Elephas maximus indicus: one gene and its partners. The protein of the gene in region 1 purifies or fractionates together with the protein of each later gene. This does not show direct contact. Links are inferred from orthologs where the notes say so. Each region holds a gene or a part of one and is shown on either strand. Other genes may lie near its edges.

Region 1 (10,586 bases):
CTCCAGGTCCACAAATGCATTTTGAAATCAAATAAAATTCCTGGTCCTTTTACTAATATCTGCTTACCTAACTGCCTTGTAGAACCAAAGTAACATTTAAAGCTAAAAGGACCACTACTAAGTCAGGATCAATCAACAGAGTTTAGAGCCTGGCTTTTTTGTATAACAGAAACACAACAGCTACTTGCATTATCATTCGATACAGCTGTCTATTACCATGTATGTGTTTTAAGACCACATTTAAAATTCACATTATGCTATAGTTGGTGGTGTTAAAGTTTGTTAACTGCAAAGGGAGATAAATGCAATTTTAATGAAGTCTGCTACTTTTAAGCAATTTGAAGGATTATTAAGTAGGTAGCAGGGAGTCAGGAAGAGTTACATCTCTTCCTTACAGACTACTGCCTTGAATGAGTTTAGCTACTTGAGGGAAATGTTTACATTTCATATAGTGGAAGACATCATGTTTGGCAAAATGAAGGGTCCGAGAAGGTGAGAGAGGCCCTCCCTGAGTTGGACTGACACAGTAGCAGAAATAATGGACTCAAAACATAACAGCAATCATGAAGATGGCACAGGACTGGGCATAGTTTCCTCCTATTATATGTAAGGTCACTACGAGTTGGAGCCGACTGGATGACTAATAACAAACACAATATACACAAATACATGATGGCTAACTATAAACTGACTTAAAAGTTCATGACCTTTATCTATAGGCTAAATCAATGGCAGTTATACAGATATTTGCTTTCTACATCAGTCTCCAGTGCCTAGCCCAAAGCTGCACTATTCTTATTGAATACTTTTGAAAGCCCATTTAGAATACTTATGAGATGCAATGGATCTCTTTTATATGGCCTTTCTCACCAGTCTTGTAACTCCCACCAAATGATTGGGTGAGATTATGTAAAATAAGGTGCTTGTGGCCCACCAAGGGGATTGGACAGCTTGCTAATAATGCAGATAAGCTTCATGGTACCCTTGTGGGGGTGAAGACATGCAAATAAGGTGTATGGAACCCTAACAAAGGAATTGGTCAGTTTTGCCATCCCAGAAGCAGGAAGGGAAGCTACTCCTAGCTACCACCAAGAAAGAGCTAGGAGTGAAGCATGTCCTCTGGACCCGGAATCCCTTTGCTGAGAACCTCCTAGACCCCAGGAGGCAGAGAGAGAGTGAGAGAGAGCTGTGACACCAGAGACAGTGAAAGATGGTGAGAAGCAAGGCACAGAAAGGCGGCAGCAGAGGCAGCAGAACCAGGAGACTGACAGGAGATGGTACAGTGAGCTTCCTAGCCCATGGAGCAAGAAAACTGAATGCCTCTGGCAGGACCCTTACTGGCAGAGTAAGGTGCCTCCAGGCACTTGTCAGAGCTAGGGTCACTAACCCACAGAGCCAGAGAGTTAAGCACCTGTGGGCAGAAGCTTACTGGCCGAGTGGAATGCCTCTGGGCACTTACTGGTGGGGTTAAAGAACTCTGTAACATTTGCTTGAGCAGGTCAGAGGCTGGGCTGGCCCAAAGGCAAGGGACCCAGGGTCAAGACGCCAATGGCCAGGGAGAGGCCTGCCTGTGGGCATGGCTGCGAAGATGTCCTGACTGAAGAACTGTATCCTGAGTCATTCCTAATTCTGATTTGAAACCTGTTACTTCCCAATAAACACCATAATCGTGAGTATTGTCTGTGAGTTCTGTGTAGCCATTGCAACGAATTATCACACCCAGCAGAGAAGTAGAGAGTACCGTGGGAGGGACGGCTGGTGTCAGAATTGGTAAAAAGGCTGGAGAAAGAAAGAATTTTTGACCTTTGCTTCACAGTAATTAGCCATGGGCTGATAATCCTGATTCACCCCCCTTGTGAAGTGAGATGATGGGGTCAGACAACAATACTGCTGCCACACCATTTTTACAGTTGGAGCCCTTTTTTTTTTTTTTTTTACAACTTACTATTATCACTCAGAATAACAAGTATATAATCATTATCTAGACTTGCATTGTCCCACGAAGTAACCACTAACCATACGTGGCTATGTGAAATTAATTAAAATTATGTTAAATGAGAAATTCAGTTCCTCAGTTGTACTAGCCACCTTTCAAGTGTCCAATAACCACATGTGGCTAGTGGCCACTGAATTGGACAGCATAGGTATAGAACATTTCCATCACTGCAGAAAGTTCTGTTAGTCGGCGCTCATCTAGATACCGCAAAAATTATCTTTCTCTGAAGATATAAAAACACTATAAAGAGAAATAAGGGGAGGGAGGCTCAAAGTGCAATAAACATAGTGAGTCTTCTCATCTGCTTCTAAAGAGCACAAAGAACAAAGGAAATTTTATAACAGAATCTTGCATGTCAAACACTACCCTCAGTTATTACTGGACATACTGTAGAATCCTTGATTTGCATTAACCATAAACCTTCATGCTCTTTAAATTTATCATAAGCAAAGGGATTGAAATGGTGAGTTTCATGTTCCTAATTGTGAGCACCAGCAAAAAGCACTGGACGTCCTTCCACCCTATGCCATAACATGTAAGTTCCAGGGCTGGGAGAGGGGCTGTCTATTTTGGGGACCGCTCTATCCTCAGTACCTGGCTACAAATTAAGTGCTTAATAAATATTTGTTGAATCAATGAAGAGAAGTATAGGAACACACACTCTGTCTGAGGGTAAATATTACTATTTCTAAGACACTGAATTCCAGTCCCTTCTTGCAGCTCTTGATACATCCCAGGCTCTCTGCTGCCTCCCGCCTTTGCTCAGGGTCATTTCCTGTTCCTAGAGGGCTCTTCCACATGATCTCCATGTGACTGTGATGGAGCTTCTTCTTATCAGTATGGTCTTATGCTAGAGAAACCTTCTCCATCTGACCTGAGTTCACCACCTGTGCCACTCTCTGTCAATCTCTCTCACTGCTTCATAGCATTCACCACTATTTAAAATGATTTAATCAGTATACTGTTTATTATCTAATCCTACCTCTGGAATATAAATATGAAAGACCTTGACTTGTGGTATGCACAGCACCTGAGGCATAGGAGTTCCACCAACTTCTTTAAGCTCAGCTCCTCTATCACTGAACTATTATACTCTTTGGTTTTAGTTTATAATACCATGGATTACCCTTTCATACACTAAATTGTCAAATTAAATGGAATCACAACAGACTTTACTGAGACTTACAAAGGTATCTTATGATTTACTTTTCGATCACCGGCACTTAGCTGAAGTTTGAGGGTATAACCAAAATTCAAACATTTCCTCTTTATTTTGAATTTATAGGGCTGACTATTATTGGGAGAAGAAGTAAAATGTTTGAAGAAAAAAGATGATGTGGACAATGAGTTAATATGGTATCATATTAACTTCCACAGAAACTTTGAAACTAGAGCATAATTCTTAACTAGTCACAAACAAAGTAGGAGGTTAATTTCTCAAAGTGGCCTGCAAAGCCACCTGTCACAAGACACAGTTTAACACTGTTGTGACCAGTCTCTGCCCAGGTGCAGGTCAGGCTTCCCCAGAGCAGAAGTGTCCATCTATGTTACTAAACAGCACAATATTTCATAATTACGTGCTTGTCTTCCAGATTTCGTGCAAGTTTTAAATTATATAGACCAAAAAAAAAAAAAAAAAGAAATTATATAGACAGGACACAATAATCTGAAGTAAACAAAAAGTAATGTAAATATATGAGCCAAGCAAATGTAAGAAACCTGAAAGAAAAAATACAGCATTTGACCAGAAAGGCAATGTGCTTTTTTCTTCTTCTTCTTGTATATTTGTGTGTGTGTGTGAGAGAGAGAGAGAGAAAGGTTTTCAAGAAAGTAAGCTACCTAGAAGACAAGGGGAAAAAAATTTCTGGGATATTTTATGTAGTTTTAAAGGTCTTTAAGTAAACCTGCTAAAGACAAGTATTAAGGTCAAAGAAAGCTGGGGTGTCAACCAATGTCATCAAACCAAATAGCAAACCGAATACGATGAGCTTCTTCAATAAACATACATGGTTTGCTTACTATAGCCACATATTTTTCAGTTCCTCTCTGTTCAGGAAGAGTACTTTAAAGTGTGTTGATTAAATCCCCGAGATAAAAAGAGGAAGAGGCCCAAGCGTTTCCAGGAGGCACAAGTATTGGTCTAGACGGTCCCTGGATGCCGGAGCTCTGCCGCGTCGCTCCGCGTCCGCCCCGCCAGTGCGCCTCTGCCAGCGGGACCGGGCGCAGCTGCCCGGATGCAGCGAAGCGCGGCGGGCGCCAGGCTGGCCGGGCCGGCCGGGGCCGCCCCTGCTCTCCCCGCGGCGCCGGCCGAGCACACCAGGAATGTGTGCCGCCCCGGGCCAGGGGGCGTGGGCAGGAGCTGGCGATTTTGGAGCCCGGGCCCAACCCTCGCGATCTGCCGCCGCAGAACGCTGGGCGGCGGCTACCTGACAACGCGCACAAACAAGGAGGCGCGGAAGCCGCAGCAGGGGCACCGCGCCTCCGGGACACCGGGCCAGGGCGTCCCCTCCCCGGGGTCGTCTTACCCAGATCTGCTCTGCTTCCTCCTCCTCCGGACACGGTCACCCACCCTCAGAGCGCTACAATTCTCAGCTGATGGGCGGTGGCGCTGGCAAGTCCAATGCGCATGCCTGCAACTCAGCTCAGGGAAGGAGGCGGGGCTCGCTTCTCTCCCATTGGTCCGCGGGGCTGAGTGACAGCGTCCCTCTCCCGCCCCTTCTGGTTAGGAGCTAAGGAATGGCGGGGGTACCAGCAACACTGGCGTGGAGGTGTTTCATTCGGCCTGACTTACTGATGATGAACGCCTTAGCCTGCTTGCAAAAAAGAAGGGGAGGACGTGGAGGGCAGCTGTCTTCTTTATCTGGCGAAGCCAGTCTTCCTGGACACGTGTCTTCACCCCGCCCCATCAGCTCATGCTTATTTCCTAACCGGTAATAGACCCGTATTCACAGCCCCGTGAAGGTGTCGAAACACGTTACACGAACCTAGCGGGAACGATGAAAGAGTAAGTGAAGAGCCACTTCGGTGTGCTCACTTAGTAACCAAGTTTTCGTTGTACAGACAAGCCATCCTAAGCATTCTTGAAGGTCAGGCGCAGTTTTCATAGGGTTTGAAAAGAGCTGGGAATGTTCTAATGACAAATATGCAAACATAAGTATAATGCAATGCATCAGTTGCTTCAGGTGAAAAAAAAATAATTCACTGCATTAATTAGAAGATAAATTGGCTTGGCCTTTCCCTATATTAAGACAATGATAGTTCCTGAAAGGATCATCAGGATATATGATATTTAAAGTCCAGATTTGGGTGTGGGGGGGGGGGGGGGGACAGAACATTTTGGGTTGGTACTACCTGAAAAAATTCTAGATTGTTTGGTGTTTGTTGTTGTTAGTTGCCGCCGTGGAGTCTATTCCAACTCATGGCAACTGCTAACTTAAAGGTTGGCGGTTTGAACACACCCATTGGTACCATAGAATAAAAGGCCTGGTTATCTGTATAAAGATTACTACTGCGTAAAGGTTACTAGCCTGTAACACATAGGGTTGCTGTGTTTGGTGTTTTACATACCAAAAAACAAAAAACGTTGCCCTCAAGTTGATTTGGACTCATGGTGACCCCATGTGTACAGAATAGAATAGCATTCTATAGGGTTGTCAAAGCTGTGGTCTTTGGCCTTTCTTCTAGGTGTCTCTGGGTAGGTTCGAACCACCAACCTTTCTGTTAGTGGTCAAACGCTTAAGCCTTTGCCCCATCCAGGGCCTCCATGTTATACATATAAACCAAAAACCAAACCCTCTGCCGTTGAGTTGATTCAGACTCACAGCAACCCTATAGGACAGAGTAGAACTGCCCTATAGAGTTTCCAAGGAGCACCTGGTGGACTTGAACTGCTGACCTTTTGTTTAGTAGCTGTAGCACTTAACCACTAAGCCACCAGGGTTTCCTGTTATATGTAAAAACAATATACATAAATTAGTAAGGTCAGTCAGGGCTAAGACATCAAGTATCTCAGTCTATTCCTCATTTTCTCATTTTGACAGAGGAATAGGTCCAAGAAATGTTTTTTCTCTCATCTTTAGTAAAGAAAACTACTTTAAAAGTGGGATAATAAGCAGCAACTTACATACTGCCTCAATGAGGTAGGGGTAATAGGAAGAGGTGGGTGAAATAGGGAGAGGTGGGCATGCTGGTTAAGGAGAAAGCACACACCCCATCCAAAGGGACAGCATGATTCAGCTAGAATCAACTACAGCCTTTCAGCAAAATTGGACCAGTATTGTCCAATTATCTGATTTTTCAGAAGATATGATGGAAATTCAGATTTTTATGTGAAATCTCTCCTTCCAGTATTCCTAATTTTCATAAAACATTCTGTGATCAGACAAAATGTGTGTGTTTCAGCCTCTTTGTTGTTATTAGCTGACATCAAGTTGGCTCCAGTTCATGGTAACCCTATGCATAACAGAGCATAATGTCGACAGATTCTGTGCCCTCTCCACAATCGTTGGCATGTTTGAGTTCAGTAGGACAATATTTTGTTCTGATCTATATAGTTTTCACTGGCTAACTTTCAAAAGTAGATCATTAGGCCTTTCTTCCTAGACTGTCTTAGTCTGAAAATTTCACTGAAACCTGTCCACCATTGGTGACCCTGATGGTATTTAAAATACTGGTAGCATAGTTTCTAGTATCATAGTAACACGCAGACTACCACAGCACAACAAATTGAGAGACAGGTGGTGGTCAACCTCTATAACAGACAACCACATCAACCTTAGAGTATCAAAGGTGGAAAAGACATTACAGAAAATCTAGCACTACTTCCTCTTTTCACAGACTAAAGAAACTAAAACCCAAAGAAACTTAAAGCCACACAGATAATTTTGAGCAGCACAGGTCCCTATAGCCTACTTCAGAGTCTAGAGTTCTTTCCATCATCATTCATTTGGCAAATATTCACCAAGAGCCTGCCAGGTGTCCGGCACTGTGCTAGGCACAGTGGATATCATGATCAATAGGATATAGTATTTCCCCTCAGGGAGCTCAAAGAATGAGATCCTTCCCTGGACATTGTAAAAAGGTGATATGATAGAGATTTGTACAAAGCACAGTGGGAGCCCAGAAATGGAGGTGCCTTACTGTGGGTACAGAGGACTCCAAAAAGAATTGTCAGCAGAACCTTGAAAAAAAAAAAGTTGTGTAAAATTTCACTAGGAAGACAAGAAGGGAAAGGACATCCAGGCAAAAGGAAGAGCATATAAATGTTCATGAAATCAGAGGTAATCATAAACTTTTAGGGATCTATACATAAATTTATTTAGATAAAGCATAGCAGATTATATCTTAGTTACCTAGTGCTGCCATAACAAAAAATACTGCAAGCGGGGTGACTTTAAAGAACAGGAATTTATCTCCTCATGGTTTTGGAAGCTAGAAACCAAAATCAGGCCATCTGTTCTAAGGGAAAGTGCTTCCTTATCAGTAGCCCTGGGCGTTCCTTGGTTTGTAGACAACTCCTTGAATGATCTCTTCCTCCTGCGTGTCTGTGTCCATTCTGCTCTTTTTATAAAACACCACTCAGAAGTAATTAGATTTAGGATTCACCCTACTCTGGTATGACCTCATTAACATAATAAAAGAAAACCCCTGTTTCCAAACAGGGCCTTACTTACAGGTACGGGGGTTCAGGTTTCAACATATTGTTCAGGGGACACAATTCAATCCATAACAGATGGAAATCTGGAAGGCAATTTGGGCTTAGGTAATGAAAAGCTTCTGTATTATATTAAATGACGATCTAATAGAAGTTGAGCCATTAAAGGATTTTAATCAAGGGTGTGATGCACTCATAATTCTACTTTACAAAGAAAATTCTGGAGAAGTGGGGAAAATTAAAGGGAACTGAAGGTGGAGAGACACCACTTAGAAGGCTGTTGTAATAGTAACATTCCCTTATTAAGAGTCTCCTTAGTATTTTTTTTTTTTTTTAGTATTAGTTTTTTTTTTTTTTTAGTATTAGAGATATTCAAGGACTGCAGTAAGGCAAATACATTGGAGAAGAAATGAAGATTGGTTTGAGAAATATTTAAGAAGTCTTGGAAATCAACTAAATATGGAGAATGAAGAGATAACTCCTATTCTTATGACATGCAAAACTGAGGTGAATATGATGTAGTTATCTAAAATCTAAGATTACTAAGAAAGCAATTGCAGTTTGAGGATGGAGTGGTGAAGTGAGGTGTTGTATTTAAGATTCTGGGGAATGATGTAATTCGTGTCATGGAATCATATACGTGAAAAATATTGAATTGGCAAATGTCATGCTATCTGTATTTTTACAACAGTGAAAAAAGATTCTGGGGATGCGATATCCAGTAGGACATGCCCAGTGTCATCGGGCACTTGAAAATGTGAGCTAAATTCAAAATAGAGTCCTGGTTGGAGCTATGGTAAGAGATGAGCTCATTAACTTGAAGGGTCAGATGTTATGAACTACCTATGTTTCAGGTATGGACAGAGAAAGAGAAACCCTGCAAAGATTTGTAATGAGAGAGATCAGAAATAAATCAGGAAAAAGTAAAGTAGAGAATGAAGGAATGCATTTCAAAAAGGGAATAGTCTGTGATGATGTCACATATCACAGAAAGTTCAAGTAAACGAAGAACTGAAAGTCGTGCACTTGAGAATTAGGAAGTCTTTGGTAAACTTAGGAAGAAGTATCTCAATCATTCGAGAAAATGTCATGAAGCAACTTACATCTACATGAAGTCTAGTGCACTTCCCAAACATCCTTTCCTGGTCCCTTTGATAGAACCCTGGGCTGTGGGAGAGGAAGGTACTAAGCACTATAGAAAAAGAACCTGAGGCTAAGTGGCCTCTTTGGGTTATCCTGCTAACTTCTGACTGAACTGGGGACAAATCTCAGCTGTCTGACTCCTCTTCTTGGGCTTGTTCCAATTTCCCATGTTTTAAAATACGTTATGAGTGGATTCTTTCCAGGTCTTTTGAAAAACTAAAAATGAGATTTTACCTCTTTGTATTCAAATGGAAAGAAAAAAAGTACAGGGAACCCTGCAAAATTCAGAGGACTAGAGGATACATGTCTTCTAAAGGCGTTTCTGCCTGCTACTTAGTGAAATTCAGCCAGGTGCCTTGGACCTAGTAGGGCTCAAAATGTTCCTTTAACAAATGCTAATGTCACCATGTCACCTTGATGGCACTGGTGTGTTTTTTTTTTTTTTTTTAATGTCACCTCTGGGCCCTGGTGGCACAGTGATTAAAAGCCACAACAATCTACATTTGCTAACCAAAATGTCAACAGTTCGAATCCATCAGCTGCTCCTTGGAAACCCTATGGGGCAGTTCTAATGTCTATAGGATCACTATGAGTCGGAATAGACTTGATGACAATGGGTTTGGTTTTTTTAGGGTGGGGGAATGTCACCTTTCCCAAAAACAAATCCTTTACACTTGCAAGATTTACCTATGGCAGAAATCTTGTGATTTGGAATATTCAGAGTTAGCAATTCTTGATATTCTGTCCTTCTGGCAGAGATTTTGAAGAACAATCAGAAGTAAGTCCTTGGGTGGGAATTGATCGTCTGCATACTTACCATGTCATTAATATAAATACCACTTACATAACCTCTGCCGTGTAGGATAGAGGTTGTTCACTGCTGTGTTGACAAGCATCTGGAACAATGATGCTAGTGAATGGTAGAGTGTAACTGCCTGCTCATTTAACAGTCACTATTATTTTTTTTATAAACCAAACATATTTTTAAAGTGCCCACTATGTAGACTGGTAGGAGAGCCAGAGAAGTGTAAAACTTGACCCCTGGGTCAGGAGATTTGCAATTGAGGCAAGGAAACAAGAACGTACTCAAAATGTAAATACGGCAAGACAAGAAATTTCTGTGGGTTGGTGATAAATGACAGGTATAGGCTGACTTATGATTTTTTTTTTAAGTTGCAATGGTAAAACCACCGTGCTAGATTTAAAACGCAGCTTAAATTGGTTTTTAATAAATAAGAGTTTCATTGTGCCTTATTTTTAAGCTCCTCCCACATCTCTCTCCGGTTGTTGTTGTTGTTAGGTACCATCGAGTTGATTCCCACTCAAAACGACCCTGTGTACAACAGAGTGAAACACTGCCCAGTACTGTGCCATCCTCACAATCATTGCGATGTTTGAGCCCACTGTTGCAGCCACTGTGTCAATCTATCTCATTGAGAGTCTCCTTCTTTTTTGCTGACCATCTACTTTGCCAAACATGGTGTCCTTCTCCAGGGACTGGTCCCTCCTGATAACAAGGCCAAAGGATCTGAGACAAAGTCTCACCATCCTTGCTTCTGAAGAGCATTCTGGCTGTACTTCTTCCAAGACAAACTTGTTCATTCTTCTGGCAGTTGATGGTATGTTCAATATTCTTTGCCATCACCAGGATTCAAATGCATCATTTTTTCTATGGTCTTCATTATTCATTGTCCAGCTTTCACATGCATATGAGACAACTGAAAATATCATGGCCTGGGTTAGGCACAACTTTGTCTTCAAAGTAATATCTTTGCTTTTGAACACTTTAAAGAG
Region 2 (10,509 bases), on another chromosome or scaffold:
ACCGAAAAAAGGCCTGGGGATCTGCTTCCCTAAAGATTACAGTCTAGAAAACCCAATGGAGCAGTTCTACACTGTAACACATGGGGTCGCCATGAGTCCGAATGACTGGAGGGCCACAGACTCCTAGAGGAAAGTGTTAGCCCTAGCTTTTCTGTGTTCTCTTCTCACCAGAGGGCAAGTGCAGCTCTGCCCTGGTATGATTTTACTCCGCCATCAGAGGATGAGGTGAGGCTGCTGTGTCTACTGCCACCCTGAACAGAGTGCATCTATCCTCTCCACTCTGCCACAGAAAATCAGCAGCCACCTGTCTCCACCCCATCCCCAATGTCTTGAATGAAGGCCTCTCTTGAGGAAGGGGATTGAGGGCTTCCCTCTTGGGGCTGATCTTGTGAACACAAGCCCTACACCAAGAAGGTTTCACCCTCACCCCTCCAGGACACCCCCCGCCCCAGGACTGAACATATAGAGTTCATCTCAGTTCCTTGGACCTCAAATTCAGGAGTGGCCTGAGGAAAGAATATGGACATGGTTGTGGCAAAGACTGCCCCAGGGTCTCTTCTGTGGTTCCTTCTCTCTCCCCGGAGAAAACATGATTCTAGGACCTGATTTACAAGTACCCAAAAAACCTCCATTGCCATCAAGTCGATTCCTACTCATAGCAACCCTATAGGACAGAGTAGAACTGCCCCAGAGGACTTCCAAGGAGCTGCTGGTGGATTTGAACTGCCAACCTCCTGCTTAGCAGTTGAATGCTTAACCACTGTGCCACCAGGGCTCCTGATGTACGAGTACTAGTCCCAAATCCAGCCTCCCAACCCTGCCCCTTCCCTACTTCCTTTGCAAAATATGTTTCCAATTCTGGAAAACCCATGACTAGGGGAATAGGGGCACAGATGGCAAGGCTCCTCCCCCCAAAACAAACCAGACTGGGCACTAGAAAGAGTGGCAATGACGGTGGAACCTGGTGGGGAGGAGGCAGGCCTGAAGACACAGAAGCCCATTGTGCATGGACAGGAAGGAGGGCCACAGGCCCTGTCCTGTGACACTGACTGTGCCCAGCCATGGGACGTGGGGAAGAGACGCTTGCCCCCTCAGGACAGCTGAGACCCAGGGGCCCTGCTAAGTCTCAGAAGGGCAGGGCAGGCAACAGACAAGAGCTTGCAGAAGAAAAGAAAAAGCAGTCCAGCTCCTTTAACCCCCAGTTCTAGACTGCAAAAGGGTCAGTGATGGGAGAGGCAAGAGGCCTACACCAGATTCCTAACTGCTATCAGGGAGGCTTCATGTTTGGCTAACACTTCCAGCAGACAAGGAGTAAAGGGACACGGCAGGGTCTAAGGGGGATACATAGGAGTCTTACACACCACACTAAAATGCTGTGAAGGTTTTGCTTTATGCCAAGACCCCCAGAAAACTCTTGCTCTTGAGACCTGTGACAATGAATGGGTTAGGACCAAGAAGGAATAAAGAAATACAGGCAGGCTCCATTTTTCTCCTCCAAACATAAGCTCTCCACCTCTCCAACAACTTGGGTCTCAAGTCAGAGGACCTCAGCCAGAGACTGTTTTCAGGAAGAATAGAAACAGGAGAGTCAAAGGCAAAATGGAAAGGAGAAAGTGCCTCACACACGTGCACGCACGTAGGGATACTGAAAAGTCTTTATTACCCTCAGGCCACCAAGAGTTTCCCAGCCACATACTGGGCCCCGAGTCTCTCCAACCCACTCTGAGGACCCATGAAATGCAGCCACAGTCCAGCTCTCTCCTTCCAGTGGACCAAGGTGCTCCCTGGGGTAGGCAATGTACAGAGGGACCTCAGGCAAGGAGCCGGAGGCCTGGACCCAGCAGCATTGCCTGTGGAGGAGGGCGGGAGAGAGGGCCCCCTTGCCATCAACTATGGAGGGTTGCCCCAGAGGGCAGGGTGGGAGGGGACTCTCTAAACAGGAATGGCACCAGTGGCAAAGAGCACGATGAAGAGGATGATGATGAAGACAACCACACAGATGAGGACTATCATCTTCACATTCTTCCACCAGAACTTCCGGGCCACTTTCTGTGATGTTGTCTTGAAGTGCTCGGACTGTCGGGGATAAGAGACAGTAAGTGACCCAGTGCCTCCTTCCCCTCGGGGTGGAGGTTCACATGCCATAAAAAAAAAAAAAAAAAAAAAAAAAAAAAATTCATGCCATACATCTAAATATTTCAGCTATAAGCTGAGATAACAAACTGTGAAATTAAAAAAAAAAAAAAAAAGTTCTAGCTTCCTACCTTGACAAATGTATCATCAGAACCACCTGGCAGACCACGTTCAAATTTAGAATTCTTAGGCTCCAGAGAGTTCTCTACCTAAACGTGGCAGGGGCCCTGGCTCCCAACCTGCCATCTTCTCTTCTACCCTTGGCACTGTCACACACGTGGAGGGGCCTTGTACACACATGCTCTACCCAGGGGAAAAACGCTTTGGGAAGGCAGACCCTGGGGGAGGCGCAGGCATCTCCCTGGCTCCATGACTCCTTTACCTGTGGGGGCTGCGGAAGCTGGAGGACAGACCTGGGGCATTCTGGGTAGTGGGGCTGGTGTTGGTGTTGGGAGTGAGGAAAACCATACCTCTTCCCCCAACTTCAGTTGCAGAAACTAAGTTTCCCTGGGCCATTCTCCCCAGACTGGGTGGCAGAAAGAAAAAGTAAGTCCCCGGGACTCCAAGGAGCTATACTCAAGATTAACCACAGGACTCAGAAAGCCAGAGCTCGTCTCTCCTGGCTGAATATGGAACCTGAGGCTCCAGCCTTTGCTGAACTTGGAGATACTCCCTTCCTGAGCATCTGGCCCCGGCCCCTGGGTGGAGAGAGAAGAAGGAGGCCTAGCAAGATGTGTGGGAAATATTATTCTAGCCTTCAGCTGGCAGAGGACCCCAGGATCAAAGAATTTCACTCCCCTTCCAGCTCCTCTTTAAAGCTGACTCAGCAAGATTCCAGCAGTTTCCACCCCCTGCCTGCTAACTCCTGGAGAAGGCAAAGGCCCCTAGTAGGATTTCCCAGACTTAATAGTTTTGTCCTGGAGAGGTCAAATCTTAAATAATTGTCAAGGGCATCCTTTAAAGGGAAAACCGGTTTTATAGGAGGGAAGCCTAAGAGTGCATGGTCTGACTGAGCCATCCATCTGTCTCAGAAAATGCCTCAAGCATCAGCCCCCCAATCCCTGATCGTTGATCCCATGCCTTGGGCCCCAGTACCACTCAGTGTAGAAGTGGAAGATCAGAGCAGGGACTCAGCTCACACCAACTCCCAAAACGTAGAAAGGCATAGAAATGGCAAATTGCAAACTTCTGTCTCTCCTGTTCTTTTTTGGCCCACAAATAAATACTTGCCTTGCCCCCAACACACAACCCTCCCTCTCTCCCTCCAGCCTCGGCGGGCTCCCCATCTCACTGTGGCTTCCAGGTCCTCTGTCTTGTTCCGGAGATGGTCCAAGTTTTCTCCTCGGGCCAGGATCCGCTCCACATTCTGGGTCATAATATTCTTGACTCCTTCCACCTCACTCTGCAGGTTCCGCACCCGGTCATTTCCTGAGCCTCCACTGGCCTCCTCCTGGGCAGCAACACAGGGTTAATGAGGCCCAGTGGTGGAGGAACTGAAAGCCTGTCTCAAAGGCCAGAGGAGGGGAAGGGGGCCTTTAGCTTTTTGTAATGCCTGAATTGGTTGCAAAGAGAATTTTTTGTGTATTACTTGTATAATCAAAAGTAAATGTATTCTTTAGCCCCAGAAAGTGAGATCTAGACAGACTAAAGCAAATTCATGTCTGGCTTCTCAGGGCTCCTGATAAGGAAAAGCAGCACACTACTAAGCCCCTCTCTGCTGCTCCTGGCCCCTCTGAGAGGCACAGAAGATGGTGGAGCTGACATCCATGGCGTCCTTTCCCCACCAGTGCAGAGCCCACCACTGTTTACAAGCTCCCAGAGGCATCCCTGCCTTCCCCTGATTCCACAGCCTCCCGCCCCCACCCCCTTAAAAGTGGCTGCTCTGCCCAGCCCAGCCAGCCCTCTCTCCAGCCCCGAAGCTGGAGCGCTGCTAGGCTCCTGGCCCTCCTGGGCAGCCTAGCCATAGTTCCATTGCTGGGACCCAGAGCACTGAGCAGCCTGAGTCCAAGTCCCCCACGAGGTACCCAGGCCGTTGAGCCGCAAACTTCTGCTTTCCCCACCACTTAGCACTATTCCCAGGCCCCAAGCTGCTGCCTGCTTATGCAGATATTAAACTGAAATACCAGGTTCGCTGTTGGGTGAAATGCCAGACAAGCCCTCCCTGGCTGGTGCCTCCTCCAGGTTTGACGATAAGGTTTTTGAACAGGGAGGGGAAAAAACATTATTAAACTCCTGCCTGCTAGGCCCACCGAGCCTCCTGAAACAGGCCAGGGGTATGGGCCAACACTAGACCACAGACAACCAAGTTCTGATTCTTTTACAAACCCTTAAGTCTCCAGTTTACCGACAGGGGGGCAGTTCCTGAGGCCCGGTGGGCAGCCCAATCCTTCAGAGTTTTGTGTAGGAGTAAAAGTGAAAGGCAGGGGTAGAGAGCCTGCCGCTGGCTGGAATTTAAGCTGGAAACAGCAGAGGCTCTACCCTGTAGGGAGCGCCACGACACCCGGGCCGGCTGGAGGAGGAGACTTGTTGGCAGGCAGTTCTAGTCCCGGAATTCGGACCCCCACACGGCTCGGGCCGGCACGGAGGTCAGGGGAGGGCAGAAGAGGGAACAGGCGCCCGGCGGCTCCGAGCCATTTGCGGCCAAGCTGTCAAAGAATACGGGCCACAGGCAGCGCTGGCCCAGCCCTCGGACTCCGCCAGCAACTTCCAGCACCTACAGCCCCCGGCCCGAGCTCCTCGGTCCCGGTTAAGTCAGCCCCTTCCTCGCCCCGTTCGCTCACCATGTCTCCGAGCACAAGGCCTGCCGGCAGCCGAGCTCGCCTAGTAGGCTTCCTCCCGCGGGAGCCCTCGGTTCACTTCCTGCTTACTCCAACTTTCAGCTTGCCCCCGCCCACTCGCATCCCGGGCCGCTCCAGCCACACCTAGCGCAGGTCCCCGCAGGTAGGCGGGCGCCCTGCACTGCCCTCCCAAACCAGGGTCTGGACTTAAGCAACAGGGCTCCCCGGCGGCAAAGGTCTGCAAACTCGTCGGGAGGGAGAAAAGAACTGTGGAACAGCCCTCTAAGTTTCCTGAGGTTGGGCCTTGTGACCTAGAAACTGCAGCCGTCTCCTTTTTCTGCTCTGAATACCTGAGACCGAAATCAATCATAGCACCTGCGAGGCCTGGTTCACTTAGGAATAGAATGCAGATACAGAAATTCCTTGCTGGAAAACCCCTTTTCCCAGGTCCGTGGGTGGGCCGAAAGCATTAACTCCCGCGATGTCTGGAATGCTGTGACCCTGGGCTCTGACGTCAGGAAGGTTTAAGTCCCAGCTGTGTCAGTTTACTAGCCCCATGACCCTGCTTGACCCTTCACCTCTCAGTTTTGCAGATGCTAACACTGGAGCCCTGGTGGTGTAGTGGCTAAGAGCTCAGCTGCTAACCAAAGGGGTTTCCGAGGAGTAGCTGGTGGATTGGAACTGCCACCCTTCTGGTTAGCACCAGAGCTCTCAACCATTGCACCACCAGGGCTCCTTGGTGAAGATTACATATACCCATTGCCTTCGACCCTGGTAAAGATTACAGCCTAGAAAACCCTATGGGGCAGTTCTACTCTGTCACATGGGGTCACTATGAGTCGAGATAACTCAATGGCAACTAAGAACAATACTGACCCCAGCCAGTGCTGTTGAGGGATAAAGAGACAGCACCAGCAAAGTGCCTAGCTCAGGGCCTGTACGGTGCCAGAAAGTACCAGGGAGTGATGGCTCACCACCCTCCTTCCTTCCAAAGGTCAGCAGTCCTGCATTTCCCTTCAGGGGCCCCATGAGGGCTGGCAAGCCTGGTCAGAGGACTGCCCAATAGCCAGAGAGGGTACCAGGGTGAAGGATTCTTCCATCAATCTGGCTCCAGGCCAGGGAAAATCCACCCCTCCCAGATAGTCTTTATCAAGAAGACAGAACAACAACAACAGGGACATGCAGAAGGGAAGAAACATGCCTAACCCATCACAGGAGGTAACAGTTCCGAGAGGTAAATGTCAGCTCCTCCAAAAAATACATTTGTTAAAAAAAGGCTTTAAGAAGTTTTGGACTACTGTATCACTTTGAGGACCCCTGGTGGCACAGTGGTTAAGAGCTATGGCTGTTAACCAAAAGTTCAGCAGTTTGAATCCACCAGCTGTTCCTTGGAAACCCTACGGGGCAGTTTTTCTCTGTGAGTTGGTTTATGAGTAGGAATCGACTCCACGGCAGTGGGTTTGGTACCACTTTGGATTCCTGGGTGGTGTAAGCAGCTGAGTTCTTGACTCCTAACTGAAAGGTTGGTGGTCTTGGAAAAAAGGCCTGGTGATCTGCTTCCAAAAAGTCACAGCCTTAAAAATCCGATGGAGGGCAGTTCTACTCGGCACACATGGGGTTGCCATGAGTTGGAACTGACTCAAGGCCAATGGGATTTTTTTGGTAGCACTCTGAGATACGTTCCTTCCAATTTATAAGGTTTTAATCTCAATTAGATTATTAGATTATGGACACCTGAGATTTTTTTAAATAATATTTTATTGTGTTTTTGGTGAAAGTTCACATAACGAATTAGGTTCCCACTTAACAATTTCTATACAAATTATTCAGTGACATTAGTTACATTTTTCACAATGTGTCAACATTCTCTTTAACTGCCTTTTGGTTGCTCTGTTTCCAGCATTCTATTTTTCCTGCCCCCTTGTCTTCTCATCTTTGCTTTAGAGTAATCATTGACCCTTTGGTCTCATATAGATGATTTTTTTTAATGGAGAAGTGTACTCACAGAGAATATCCCTTATTTTGTGTGCCAATCTGTTATTTCATTAAAAGGTGACATAAGGGGATGGTTTTGGTTCAAGGTTCAGACCTGAATTTTGGTAGACAGGACAATCAGCCCTATAAGCAGGGGTATAACAGCTGATTTCACAGAGAATGTGACTGCCCTACACCTCACCATCCTTAGAAAAGTTGCTAGTACGGCCAGGTGGAGACGGATTTCATCCTGGGGCTATATTTGTGCTGTCCAATACAGCAGCCACTAGCCTAGCCCCATGTGGCTGTTAGAATTTGCAATGTGGCTAGTCTGAATTGAGGTGTACTCTAAGTGTAAAAAAAAAAAAAAACGTTTTTTTCTAAGTGTAAAATACACACCAGATTTCAAAGACTCTGTAGAAAAAAGAATGTAAGTATCTCCTTAATGATTTTATGTATTGATGATGTGTTGGATATTTTGGATATATTGAGTTAAAATAAAAGATATTAATGGAATTAATTTCATCTGCTTTTTTCCCCCCTTTTTAATTTGGCTAAGTAGAAAATTTTAAATTACAAATGTGGCTCAAATTGTATTTCTATTGGACACACTGATCTACACCTTAATATTTATGTGTATTTAGACAACTTACATAGCACCTCTTGGCACATAAAAACCCGCAGTGAATGTTAGCTATCATGATTACTGTTATTAAGAATTCTAGCTGCTAAGTGAGGTGGGTGCTGGAAATAACAACTTGAAGAGGAAGGGCATTGCATTCATCAACAAAAAGAACATTTCAAGATCTATCCTTAAGTATAATGCTGTAAGTGATAGGATAATATCCATACACCTACAAGGAAGACCAGTTAATACGACTATTATTCAAATTTACGCACCAATCACTAAAGCCAAAGATGAATAAATTGAAGATTTTTATCAGCTGCTGCAGTCTGAAATTGATCGAACATGCAATTAGGATGCATTGATAATTACCAGAGACTGGAACGTGAAAGTTGGAGATGAAGAAGGGTGGGCAGTTGGAAAATACGGCCTTGGTGATAGAAACGATGCCAGAGATTGCATGATAGAATTTTGCAAGACCAACAACTTCTTCATTGCAAGTACCTTTTTTCACCAACATAAATGTGACTATACATGTAGACCTTGCCAGATGGAATACACAGGAATCAAATGGACTACATCTGTGGGAAGAGACAATGGAAAAACTCAGCATCATCAGTCAGAACAAGGCCAGGGGCCTACTTCAGAAGAGGCCACCAATTGCCCATATACAGGTTCAAGCTGAAATTGAAGAAAATTAGAATAAGTTCACGAGAGCCAAAGTATGACCTTGAGTATATCCCACATGAATTTAGAGACCATCTCAAGAAAAGGTTTGATGCGCTGGCAACACTAATGACTGAAGACCAGACGAGTTGTGCAAGGACATCAACGACATCATACACGAAGAAAGCAAGAGGTCATTAAAAAGACTGGATAGAAAAAAAATTCCAAAACGGATGTCAAAAGAGACTCTGAAACTCGCTCCTGAACATTAAGTAGCTAAAGTGAAAGGAAGAAATGATGATGTAAAAGAGCTGAACCGAAGATTTCAAAGGGTGGCTAGAGAAGACAAAGTAAAGTATTATCATGACATGTGCAAAGGTCTGGAGGTGGAAAACCAAAAGGGAAGAACACACTCAGCATTTCTCAACCTGAAAGAACAGAAGAACAAATTTAACCCTCGAGTTGCAATACTGAAGGATTCTATGGGGAAAATATTAAATGAGTCAAGAAGCATCAGAAGAAGATGGAAGGAATACACAGAGTCACTGTACCAAAAAGAATTGGTCGATGTCCAACCATTTCAGGAGGTACAGGAACCAATGGTACTGAAGGAAGAAGTCCAAGCTGCACTGAAGGCATCTGCAAAAAAAAAAAGGCTCCAGGAACTGACAGAATACCAACTGCGATGTTTCAACAAGCAGATGCAGCGCTGGAAGTACTCACTAGTCTATGCCAACTGGCTGGAAGAGGTTTATATTTTTGCCTATTCCCAAGAAAGGTAATCCCACCGAATGTGGAAATTATCAAACAATATCATTAATACCACACACAAGTAAAATTTTGTTGAAGATCACTCAAAATCGGTTGTAGCAGTATATTGACAGGGAACTGCCAGAAATTCAAGCCAGATTCAGAAGAGGACACAGAACCAGGGATATCATTGTTGATGTCAGATGGATCCTGGCTGAAAGCAGAGAATACCAGAAAGATGTTTACCTGTGTTTTACTGACTACACAAAGGCATTCAACTGTGTAGATCATAACAAATCATAGATGACATTGCGAAGAATGGAAATTCCCGAACACTTAATTGTGCTCATGACAAAACTGTACATAGATCAAGAAGCAGTCGTTTGAACAGAACAAGGGGATACTGAGTGGTTTAAAGTCAGGAAAGGTGTGCATCAGGGTTGTGCCCTTTCACCATATCTATTCAATCTGTATGCTGAGCAAATAATCTGAGAAGCTGGACCATATGAAGAAGAACAGGGCATCAGAATTGGATGAAGACTCATTAACAACCTGTGTTATGCTGATGACACAACCTTTCTCGCTGAAAGTGAAGAGGACTTGAAGCACTTACTGATGAAGATCAACGACCACACATAGCCTTCAGTATGGGTTACACCTCAACATAAAACAGAAATCCTCACAACTGGACCAATAAGCAACATCATGATAAACAGGGAAAAGATTGAAGTTGTCAAGGATTTCATTTTACTTGGATCCACAATCAACACCCATAGAAGCTGCAGTCAAAAAATCAAAAGACACATTGCATTGGGCAAATCTGCTGCAAAAGAACTCTTTCAAGTGTTGAAAAGCAAAGATGTCACCTTGAAGACTAAGGTGCACCTTACCCAAGCCATGGTGTTTTCAATCACCTCCTATGCATGTGAAAGCTGGACGGTGAATAAAGAAGACCGAAGAATTGACACCTTTGAATTGTGGTGTTGGGGAATATTGAATATATCATGCACTGCCAAAAGAAGGAACAAATCTGTCTTGGAAGAAGTACAACCAAAATGCTCCTTAAAAGTAAGGACAGTGAGACTACGTCTCACATACTTTGGACATGTTGTCAGGAGGGATCAGTCCCTGAAGAAGGACATCATGGTCAGTAAAGTAGAGGGTCAGCGAAAAACAGGAAGACTCACAGTGAGATGGATTAACACAGTGGCTGCAACGACAGGCTTAAGCATGGCAACAATTGTGGGGATGGCACAGGACTGGTCAGTGGTGTTTTGTTCTTTTGTATATAGGGTTGGTGTGAGTTGGAACCAACTTGATTGCACCTAACAAGTGAGGTGGTGGATGGAGAAACATGAGAGGTGCCAAGAAATAGAAGGCCAGAGTGGGATGCCTGAGAGGAACTGCAAAAATTGGAAGAGGATTCCCAGGATCAGGGTGAGAGTTACAATATTTGAGGAGTTACTGGGTTCTGGCATGCCACAGCAAGCCTTGGACACATGTGGGTGTCCCTGAGGGAGCTGACCCTGGCCTCACCCCAGCAACCATCAGGAGGGAACATCCAAAATGCCCACAGTTGGGCCT
Region 3 (10,906 bases), on another chromosome or scaffold:
TTTTCTTCTTCACAGGCACTATATCCACTATTAGCATAGCCATAGTTCCCATAATTTCCAGGAGGTACTCCTTCACCTGCAAGGTTTAGATTTAGGAATGTAGTTTTAGCAGAAACAGAAGGCACTTTTGAAACCTTGATAGAAAAGAACCAAAAAAGACCCCTGGAGGGCGTTGCAGACCATATATGCTTATAATATTCATACTTCATGTTAAAAATTAATAGCCAGACAGAGAACAGAACAATTTTTTTCCACTACCTTCTCTTAATCAAAGAATATTGTTAATTTAAATATACATTAATTAATTGCCTACCGATTCCCCCCAAGAGACTAAAATAAGCACTGATATCTATACAAGGATAGCCAGAAAACATTCCCTGCTCAATGGAAGCATATATTCTAATACAAAATCTAAAAAGGCTAACATCAACCACCCATTAAAGAAGCCTGACTGTGAAAGGAGGGGGAGAAAGAGGATAATATAATGAGAGGGAACTCTGAGCAAAAGGAAGGTCCATTACCCGCACCTCTTTCTCCTAAATATAGGGACAGTTGAGTGGGGAAGAGCCGAAGGGAGGAAAACAAACAAGAAAAATAAAAAGTTGAAGCTCTAGAAGAGGGATAAAATAACTTGTGGGGACTGTTAGCTGAGAAGTAGGAGAGGGATTCATTCATTCTTCAACAAATATTTGAGTGCCTACTATATGCCAGATCCATTGTTCTACATGCTACTTTTATGGAGCTTATCTTCTAAGGGATGACATTTAGAATGCGGTAACCACCACCCTGCTAATATAGTACTTCATAGTCATCAGGCAATCAAACAACAGGTGGAGTAAGCATTTAATAGTGAATATATAAATAAATTGGTTGGGGGACTGAGGGAAGAAAGAATAGCTGAGGGTTTATTTAACCACAAAAACGTTTAAGTCTTTTAACAATCGATGCCGTCGACTTTCTTAGTAAAGGAAGAGAAAGGATAATCTGCTAAAGTGGTGATCCTTTGGAATAAACAATAAGGAGAATGTTGGAGGAAGGTGAACAGGGTTACACAGGATTACCAGGGAAATTAGACAAACCTAGCAGATGGAATTCATTGTAATGGTTTCAATCCTCTTGGAAACGTAACTTTTCTACAGAAGGGTTCATCAGCCTAGGTTAGCAGATGAGAAGCTGGATGGTTGGACTGATCTAGAGTTGGAAGTTTACAATGTAGGAGCTGCAGAACAACACAGCCCCCAATCTTTTTGAGATTGCTTGCAAAACGAATGGTTGAAGATGTGGATTGTGGGGACAAGATTAGACAGGGATTCAAGCAGATCTGACAGTGGACTGAGCATGTGGGGGTAAGGATGATATAGAAACAATATGTCTCAGTGAACTCAAACAGCAGGTAAAGTGACAGCAAGAAGTGCAAGGACAGGAGTCCTGGGTAGCTGGTAGCTGAAGGATGGTTGAGGTGTGAACAATAAGCTCTTTTAAGGCACAGCACAAATTCACTTTCTCTAGAAAGCAAAGCTGACTACTCCCTCCTCCGACTTCTTACATTTCTGGCTGTGTGTAACACTTACTATACACCCTAGACTGCACTATGAGGGTAGAAGTTAAGTCTGTTTCATTCATTGGTGTACATCCCCCTCAAGACTCCCTACACACTCTTCAAGACACTCAAATATGGACACACTCAATAAATACATGTAAATGAATTAATTAATGAATAGAATCTGAAATCACTATTATTCAACTTTTCCTGTGCATGCCTTTCTCAACAATAGAATCATATGCTTCTCTGACGGTGTTTCATGCTTCTCCTATGTTCGCCATGTAGGAGGCACCTATGCAACCTCCACCACAAAAATCACAGCAAAATGTTGAACAAGTGCGTTCCAAACAGAGGAGTACTGTTGCATTACCTCTACTGCTGACACACCGAGCCAGAAAGCCTTCCATACCACATGTTACTACACAATTTTGGAACTCGAGTGACTGGGCATAATTCTTTTCCCCATTCAGTAATTAAAACTCATTTTAAAAAACGTATTCTCCATCAATCAATGATATTTTGTACGAACTCTACATTAGTAAGAACCAATATCCTTAAAGAAACGGACAACGTCTTCTACTTGCTTTATGTGACTAAGATTTTGAATATATAGCATTTGCCCAAAAGGAATTACAGACTGTTTGTACTTAATCATTTAGTAACTTCGCCACAGAATTTGTTTCATAAAATAATGGTGACTTGCTTTATTTTCTTTGTTTTGCTCTTTTAACCTAACTTAATTCTAACTTTAGAGGTCTTCCATACTGTTCCATTTATTCAAAGCAGACATTCTCCTTTTATTTAGGGCCCAGAAATCTTTAAATGCACATTTCTCCTATTGAAGAGTTATCTTTCCTCACACCATCATCCACCCCTAAAATAAAGAAAATCAAATAAAATGAGGAGCTGCTTTTCCAAACTTAACCACCCTACTTTTTGTGTAAATTACTGCTTTGAAAAACTGTATAAAAGCCAGAACGTGCCAAAGGTAATCCTTAGCCTTTGTTAATTTAGATAAATGCTACCCCTTTTAGGAAGTTTCTATCAATAACTGAGCCAAAATCATTTAGATATTCATGTGAGATCTGGCAGCTTCTGCACACAAATATCTACAGGTTCATTATTTATCCCTAAGTTTGAAATTCCAGATTGATATGCAGTAATACCTTAAAAAGCAAGTAGTGTATATTAAAAGAAAAAAAAAAAAAACCCTTTTCATAACAAAGTAAATTTTATCAATTCACTTAAGTAATCACCAATGACCTTTTATCTCTGCTTCAGTGGTTCTCAATCCTGGCTGATGCTCAAAACCAGCAGAGAAAGAGCATTAAAACAAAATACTCTATGGCTAGACATTCTAATTTACTTTGGTTTGGGTTGGGGTCCAGGTAGCAACACTTTAAAAGCTCCCTAGGTGATTCTAACATACAGTCAGGGTGGAGTACCACTTCTTTAGTCCCTTTCCTGCAATGTAATATGGCACACTACTGCAAAATACATCCAAAGGGGCCCTGAGACGAAGTCCAAACTTCTTGGTCTGGCACTTGAAGATCTCCACAGTGCACTTCCATCCCCCCTATTTCAACGAAATTAGCTTAATTATAATCCCTTAAACATCTCATTCACATTCTAATGGACTCAAGGATACAAATGATGAAGATAAGTTATAGTACAAAGTGGTAGCTATGTATGTGGTCAAATACTATATTAAGTTCTACAGATGGTGGATGTCTCAGGGATTTCAGAGATTACTGTGTACTTTGTGGAGACTTAAGAACTTGAACTAATCTTGAATAATAGAGAGAAAAAACGGTAAGTTCCAGATGAGAGCATGACGAGTGGGGGAAAAAAAAAATGTACGGTTGCTGATAATTGGTGTTGAGTTGGTGCAGACTCACGCCGATCCTCTGTCAGTGCCAACTCAACAGCAATTATCAACAGCCCTATACTTTTTTTTTTTTTTTGGCTTACGTTCTCATCTGGAACTTCAGCTTTCCTAACCTACATTATTCAAGGATTAGTTCAAGTTCCTAAATCTCCACAAAATACACAGTAATCACTGAAATCCTCGAGACATTCACCATCTGTAGAACTTCATACAGTATTTGACCATATACGTAGTTGCCACCTTGCACTATAATTTATCTTTGTACCTAGTCCTATTCCCCAGGTAGACTGCAAGCTTGGGGGAGGGAGCACAAATAGGGCCACAGTGACTATATACCTAGGATACTTAAAAGAAAAAAAAAGATACTTAGGGTCTCTCAAATACACAATAAATGTCTGTTGCTGTTGTTGATGAAAAAAAACATTTGGGCACACAAAACTAATCTTGCTCATAATTAGTTCTTTTTTTCCTTTTCAATTTACCTGGCCAACTTTCTGTTATCCAAATATTCATAAAAATTACATAAAAAACTGTGTCTCATGCTAAATTTTATAAATCAACATACAAGTTTAAAGTTACTGGCAACTTTTATTTAAGTGACTGACACATTTTTAGAAAACTTTTTTTTTCTTTTTCCTGTGTTATATAGTGCCTGAGAAAGGCAACATTATCTTTTGAAAAAATACTTCATAGATTTTCCACTATATTGCACACTAATTTTGCAGATTTTTTATATTCTTACTGTTTTTGGTATTGTCACTTTATAGAAAGCTTTATAACCAGAAAATGCTGTTCTAATAGCGTGTATTATAAAATATAAAGAACCACTAAAAATCCACATTCATAACTTATTTCTGCTGCTTGGTGTACCTTCATAAGCCAAAAGATCAAAAACAAATGTTAATTCGCCAAGGCTTACCACACTCCAATGACTTATGAGTGTAACAAGGTTCAGACAAGAAGTGCCCCGGGTAAAATCACCTTTGACCCCGATGTTACATACCAGGGCCTTTAACAGTAATGACACGTACATTTTACCTTTGTAACTCATTGTTATCAGGCTAACATGATCCTTATTAGCGTGCTTCGCATGCACACCTCACTTTTCAAACTTCGTTTCTTCTGAAGAAAATAAGATTAAGGGGCAGTAGAAAAAGAGAAACCAGACAGCCTTTGCGAAACTCAGTAATCACGCTCTGTAACTAGACTAAAGAAACTTAACAACCGAGTTGGTGTCTGTATATACCCCCCCCCCCCCCCCAGTCCTCAAGCACTCTCTCTAACCTACCATCCAAACTGGGTCTGACCTAAACTTAAGGAAATCCCTATGATCTGGGGCAAATGTTTCCACCTGGCACTGTGTCCCAAGATGCCCTGCCTACATCTCGCTTTCTGGCCCATATGCTAGTGCCAGAAGACCGGTCCGATTTCCTCCCACGCCCCCGCGCCCACCGCGGCCGGTTCTAGGGCCCCCAGAACTTCCAACTTTATCCCTCCTCTTACCCAGGCCTGCACGCCTCATCCTGCCAGAGAAGGGCAGGAAAAGGCGGGAAGAGGGTAGGAAGGAAGGGGCGAAGGAATCACCGGACCGCGTCTTCAGCACCAAAGTCCGGCAGAACACTAACTTCTCCCAAAGCGCCACGACACCAGTGAAGTCCAAACACCGCGCTGGCTGATGGCGTCACCCGGGCACTTATTGGTGCCCGTGAGGCTTCTTGAATAGCATTCTGGGAAATGTAGTTCGTCGCCTCCATAAGAGGCGTACCGTGGGCATGGTATGGCAGTCCCACTCCACAAGCCCAGGAATCTTCGGGAAAAGGGGCGAGCGTCCTAGGGAGTAAGACTCAGAGTCTCGAGTGCTGCGCTCCCAGCCTTTTGGACCTTGTTTTTAGTGTATTCGACCCCGACTTTAACATACACATCTGCTTTTACCTGACCGCGAGAGGATAGTTGACACCTTAACTATTTCAGCCTCTTCATCTCACATCCAGAATCAATTCAGGGCAAAAAGGGCAAGTCAGTGAAAACTTTGTTCAAGTTTCTCATATTACAAACAAGTCATTTGAGGCTCACAGAAGGGAAGGAAGAGGGTAACCTATTTACGCCGGGTCACTCACTAAAATAGAAAGAACCTAGCTCCTTGGAGTAGGTCCTACTCGAATAGTAGCAGATAAGTCTCTACCTTAAAGCCTTTTTTGTAAAATACCCACCAGAGCAACTTTTAGTGAGTTATTAACCTGGTCCAAACCAAACCCATTGCCCTCGAGTAGATTCCGACTCATAGCGACCCTATAGGACATAGTAGAATGGCCCCTTAGAGTTTCCAAGGAGCACCTCGTGGATTCAAACTGCTAACCTTTTGGTTAGCAGCTGTAGCACTTAACCACTAAATTCAATAGTGTTTTGATGGAAAAACAGTTTTCATAAGAGGAAAACAAACCACAATTCTCTAAAAGCAATGGAATTAAATGAAGATTGCACCAGGGACAATTATTATTGCAAATAAACACCAAAGGTTCAATAAGAAAAATGATGGCAAGGCTCCTCTTTTTTATTTAAAATCTGTGACATTCTATAATCATAACATGTCAGAATGAAACTACTAGGACAGAAATAACAAGAATGTTGACACAATGTGAAGAATGTAACCAATGTCACTGATCATTATGTCTAGAAACTGGAATGGGAGCAGGTTTTGCTGTGTCTATTTTCACCAAAAATTAAGTTTAAAAAAATGTCAGAAAAATTATCTTGCTTAAGGAAGTCTTACTCATATAAGTATAAAAGTCATTGTTACTTAAAAAAAAAATTTGATGTCATGTTTACCAAAACAGACCATTTAAATTATGTAAAGCTTACTTACCCTTTTGTAAGCTACTTTCCATTCTAAAAATGTATGGATATAAGAATAAAATGTAGCAAAAGGAAAAAAAAAGTATATCAATTATATAACTCCAAGTAAAAGGCAACAACAGTAAATACCAGTACATACACAATCATGCAATAACAGTAATAACAATAATTTATGAGTGGATACATAGGTAGATACGTAAGCTGAACAGATGTAGGATGGCATATGGGAGTACACCCATATATAGGTTTGGGAAAGATATTTCTACAAACACATTTGTATGTGCTGCAAATGTATCCATGTATATAGTAGAACACACAGGGGGCACACTTATGAAAACTTCCAGCTGTAACCAAATGCCTCAAGGGAAAGAGGCACTGGGCTTGAAGGCTTAGGGCCATAGTCTTGGGGAACATCTAGGTCAATTGGCATAACATAGTCCATAAACATAATGTTGTTCTATATCCTCGTTTTGTGAGTAGTGACTACGGTCTTAAAAGCTTCTAGCAGCCATTAATATACAACTATTGGTCTTTTTCCATCTGTAGCAAAGAAGAGTAAGAAAAGCAAAGCCTTAAGGAAACAATTAGTCCAAAGGCCTAATGGAGCACAGGAACCACAGCCTCCACTAGCCCAAGACTAGAAGAACTAGATGGTGCCCAGCTACCAATGCTGACTGCTCTGACCGGGATCACAGTAGAAGGTTCTGGACAGAGTGGGAGAAAAACATAGAACAAAATTCAGGTTCATAAAAAAGACCAGCCTTATGGGTCTGATAGAGACTGGTGGAAACCATAAGACTCTGACCCTTAGACATCCTCAAGTTCTAGAACTGAACCCGGTCCCAGAGATAACCTTTCCTTTCAGCCAAATAATAGACAGGCCTATAAAGTGAATAATAACACCAGTGAGGAACGTGCTTTCTCAGAACAATCAACCATACCAGACCTAAAGGGTAGCATTTGCCCAAAAACAAAGCTCGAAAGGCAGGAAAGTTGTGTGAATGGAAATGGGCAAATCAGGGAGGAAGTGGGTAGAGTGCCGTCACGTTGAGGGGACAGCAATAATGCCATGAAACAAAATGTGTATAAATTGTTAGATGGGAAACTAATTGGCTCTGTAAACTTTCACCAAAACTACAATAAAGTGTTCAAAAAGCAAAAAAGAATATAACTCCAGACAGGCAAAGCTGGTTCATACTGAGTTTGTGACACAAACATCCAAATAGTTGTTTATCATTACTATGAAAAACGAAACAAACAGCCAGCTGCCATGGAGTCTACTCCAACTCATGGACATCCCATGTATGCCAGAGCAGAACTGTGCTCCATTGTTGTTGGGTGCCTTTGAGTTTTTTCTGATTCATAGCAACCCCATGTGACAGAGTAGAACTACCCTATAGAATTTTCTTGGCTGTAATCTTTATGGAAACAGATCAGCAGCTTTTTTTCCCTCAGAGCTACTATGTGGGTTTGAACGCCCAGCCTTTCGGTCAGCAGTTGAATGCTTAATCGCTGTGCCACCAGAGCACACCATTAAAACCAAAACCCATTGCCATCGAATTGATTCCAACTCACTGCAACTACCAGTCTCAAATTAGGATGATCTCATCTGAGATTTTGTGTTCAAAAAAACTTGGGAGGAAAAGAAGAATAATGAAATGCTACTACAGTTGACAAAGAATTCCAGAAAGAATTCTTATGATTTTTTTTATTTAAATTTTTTTCTTTTCTTTTTTAAATTAAAATACCTGTTTTTTTAATTAAAGGCCAATAAAGTTCTTGGAGATGAATAGCATTTAAAATTTTTCTCTATACTCACAGGCTAATTTTGTAGAAAATGTGTAATCTTTGAGGCTCCCTGGGAAATTAATAACTGTTGTTGTCGTTGTTGTTAGGTGCCGTTGAGTCGGTTCTGACTCATAGTGACCCTATGCACAACAGAATGAAACACTGCCCAGTCCTGCACCATCCTTACAATCGTTGTTATGCTCGAGCTCATTGTTGAAGCCACTGTGTCAATCCACCTTGTTGAGGGTCTTCCTCTTTTCCGCTGACACTGTACTCTGCCAAGTATGATGTCCTTCTCCAGGGACTCATCCCTCCTGACAACATGTCCAAAGTATGTAAGACGCAGTCTCACCATCCTTGCCTCTAAAGAGCATTCTGGCCACACTTCTTCCAAGACAAATTTGTTCGTTCTTTTGGCAGTCCGTGATACATTCAATATTCTTCACCAACACCACAATTCAAAGGCATCAACTCTTCTTTGATCTTCTTTATTTATTGTCCAGCTTTCACATGCATATGATGTGACTGAAAATACCATGGCCTGGGTCAGGTGCACCTTAGTCTTCAGGGTGACATTTTGCTCTTCAACACTTTGAAGAGGTTCTTTGCAGCAGATTGCCCAATGCAATGCGTCTTTTGATTTCTGCTGCTTCTGTGGCTGTTTATTGTGTATCCAAGTAAAATGAAATCCTTGACAACTTCAATCTTTTCTCCATTTATCATGATGTTGCTCATTGGTCCACTTGTGAGGATTTTTGTTTTCTTTATGTTGAGCTGTAATCCATACTGAAGGCTGTGGTTTTTGATCTTCATTAGTAAGTCCTTCAAGTCCTCTTCACTTTCAGCAAGCAAGGTCGTGTCATCTCCATAATGCAGGTTGTTAATGATTCTTCCTCTGATCCTGATGCCCCGTTCTTCTTCATATAGTCCAGCTTCTCATATTATTTGTTCAGCATACAGATTAAATAGGTGTGATGAAAGAATACAACCCCGATGCACGCCTTTCCTGACTTTAAACAAGTCAGTATCCCCTTGTTCTGTCCAAACAACTGCCTCTTGATCTATGTAAAGGTTCCTCAAGAGCACAATTAAGTGTTCTGGAATTCCCATTCTTCACAGTGTTATCCATAGTTTGTTATGATCCACACAGTCGAATGCCTTTGCATAACCAATAAAACACAGGTAAACGTCCTTCTGGTATTCTCTGCTTTCAGCCAGGATCCATCTGACATCAGCAATGATACCCCTGGTTCCACATCCTCTTCTGAAACCGGCCTGAATTTCTGGCAGCTCCCTGTCGATATACTACTGCAACCGTTTTTGAATGATCTTCAGCAAAATTTTGCTTGCGTGTGATATTAATGATATTGTTCTATAATTTCCACATTCAGTTGGATCACCTTTCTTTGGAATAGGCATAAATATGGATCTCTTCCAGTCAGTTGGCTGCGAAGCTGTCTTCCATATTTCTTGGCACAGACGAGTGAGCACCCCCAGAGCTGCATCTGTTTGTTGAAACATCTCAGTTGATATTCCATCAATTCCTGGAGCCTTGTTTTTCGCCAATGCCTTCAGAGCAGCTTGGACTTCTTCCTTCAGTACCATCGGTTCCTGATCATATGCCACCTCTTGAAATAGTTGAACATCAACTAATTCTTTTTGGTATAATGACTCTGTGTATTCCTTCCATCTTCTTTTGATGCTTCCTGCGTCGTTTAATATTTTCCCCATGTAATCCTTCACTATTGCAACTCGAGGTTTGGAATTTTTTTTCAGTTCTTTCAGCCTGAGAAATGCCAAGCGTGTTCTTCCCTTTTGGTTTTGCATCTTCAGGTCTTTGCACATGTCATTATAATACTTTGTCTTCTCGAGAGGCCCTTTGAAATCTTCTGTTCAGTTCTTTTACTTCATCAATTCTTCCTTTTGCTTTAGCTGCTCGACGCTCAAGAGCAAGCTTCAGAGTCTCCTCTGACATCCTTCTTGGTCTTTCCCTTCTTTCTTGTCTTTTCAATGACATCTTGCTTTCTTCATGGATGATGTCCTTGATGTCATTCCACAACTCGTCTGGTCTTTGGTCACTAGTGTTCAATGCGTCAAATCTATTCTTCAGACGGTCTCTAAATTCAGGTGGGATATAGTCAAGGTCATATTTTGGCTCTTGTGGACTTGCTCTGATTTTCTTCAGTTTCAGCTTGAACTTGCATATGGGCAATTGATGGTCTGTTCCACAGTCAGCCCCCGGCCTTGTTCTGACTGATAATATTGAGCTTTTCCATTGTCTCTTTCCACAGATGTAGTCAATTTGATTTCTGTGTGTTTCGTCTGGTGAGGTCCATGTGTATAGTCACTGTTTATGTTGGTGAAAGAAGGTATTTGCAGTGAAGAAGTTGTCGGTCTTGCAAAATTCTATCATTCGATCTCCGGCATTATTTCTATCACCAAGGCCATATTTTCCAACTACTGATCCTTCTTTGTTTCCAACTTTCGCATTCCAATCACCAGTAATTATCAATGGATCTTGATTGCATGTTTGATCAATTTCAGACTGCAGCAGCTGATAAAAATCTTCTATTTCTTCATCTTTGGCCCTATTGGTTGGTGCATAAATTTGAATAATAGTCGTATTAACTGGTCTTCCTTGTATGCGTATGGATATTATCCTATCACTGACAGCATTGTACTTCAGGATAGATCTTGAAACGTTCTTTTTGACAATGAATGCAACACCATTCCTCTTCGAGTTGTCATTCCCAGCATAGTAGACTATATGATTGTCCAATTCAAAATGGCCAATACCAGTCCATTTCAGCTCACTAATGCCTAGGATATCTATG

Evidence for each region.
Region 2: the proteins of STX7 (region 1) and VAMP8 purify together in Homo sapiens (affinity purification with mass spectrometry; 7 studies listed by BioGRID and IntAct, counting the BioPlex papers as one, with this or other methods). This does not show direct contact. The link is inferred for Elephas maximus indicus from reciprocal best matches to the Homo sapiens genes STX7 and VAMP8.
Region 3: the proteins of STX7 (region 1) and BET1 purify together in Homo sapiens (affinity purification with mass spectrometry; 3 studies listed by BioGRID and IntAct, with this or other methods). This does not show direct contact. The link is inferred for Elephas maximus indicus from reciprocal best matches to the Homo sapiens genes STX7 and BET1.

Annotation. Positions count from the first base shown.
Region 1 is NC_064819.1:201,522,930-201,533,515, forward strand, and holds the start of STX7 (syntaxin-7), read right to left. Parts: upstream 4,830-10,586; 5' UTR 4,522-4,829; intron 1-4,521. UniProt on the Homo sapiens protein: May be involved in protein trafficking from the plasma membrane to the early endosome (EE) as well as in homotypic fusion of endocytic organelles. Mediates the endocytic trafficking from early endosomes to late endosomes and lysosomes.
Region 2 is NC_064835.1:49,018,813-49,029,321, forward strand, and holds VAMP8 (vesicle-associated membrane protein 8), read right to left. Parts: upstream 5,107-10,509; 5' UTR 4,917-5,106; coding exon 4,914-4,916; intron 3,584-4,913; coding exon 3,425-3,583; intron 2,077-3,424; coding exon 1,933-2,076; 3' UTR 1,619-1,932; downstream 1-1,618. UniProt on the Homo sapiens protein: SNAREs, soluble N-ethylmaleimide-sensitive factor-attachment protein receptors, are essential proteins for fusion of cellular membranes.
Region 3 is NC_064826.1:63,943,841-63,954,746, forward strand, and holds the start of BET1 (BET1 homolog), read right to left. Parts: upstream 5,107-10,906; 5' UTR 4,954-5,106; coding exon 4,935-4,953; intron 77-4,934; coding exon 1-76. UniProt on the Homo sapiens protein: Required for vesicular transport from the ER to the Golgi complex. Functions as a SNARE involved in the docking process of ER-derived vesicles with the cis-Golgi membrane.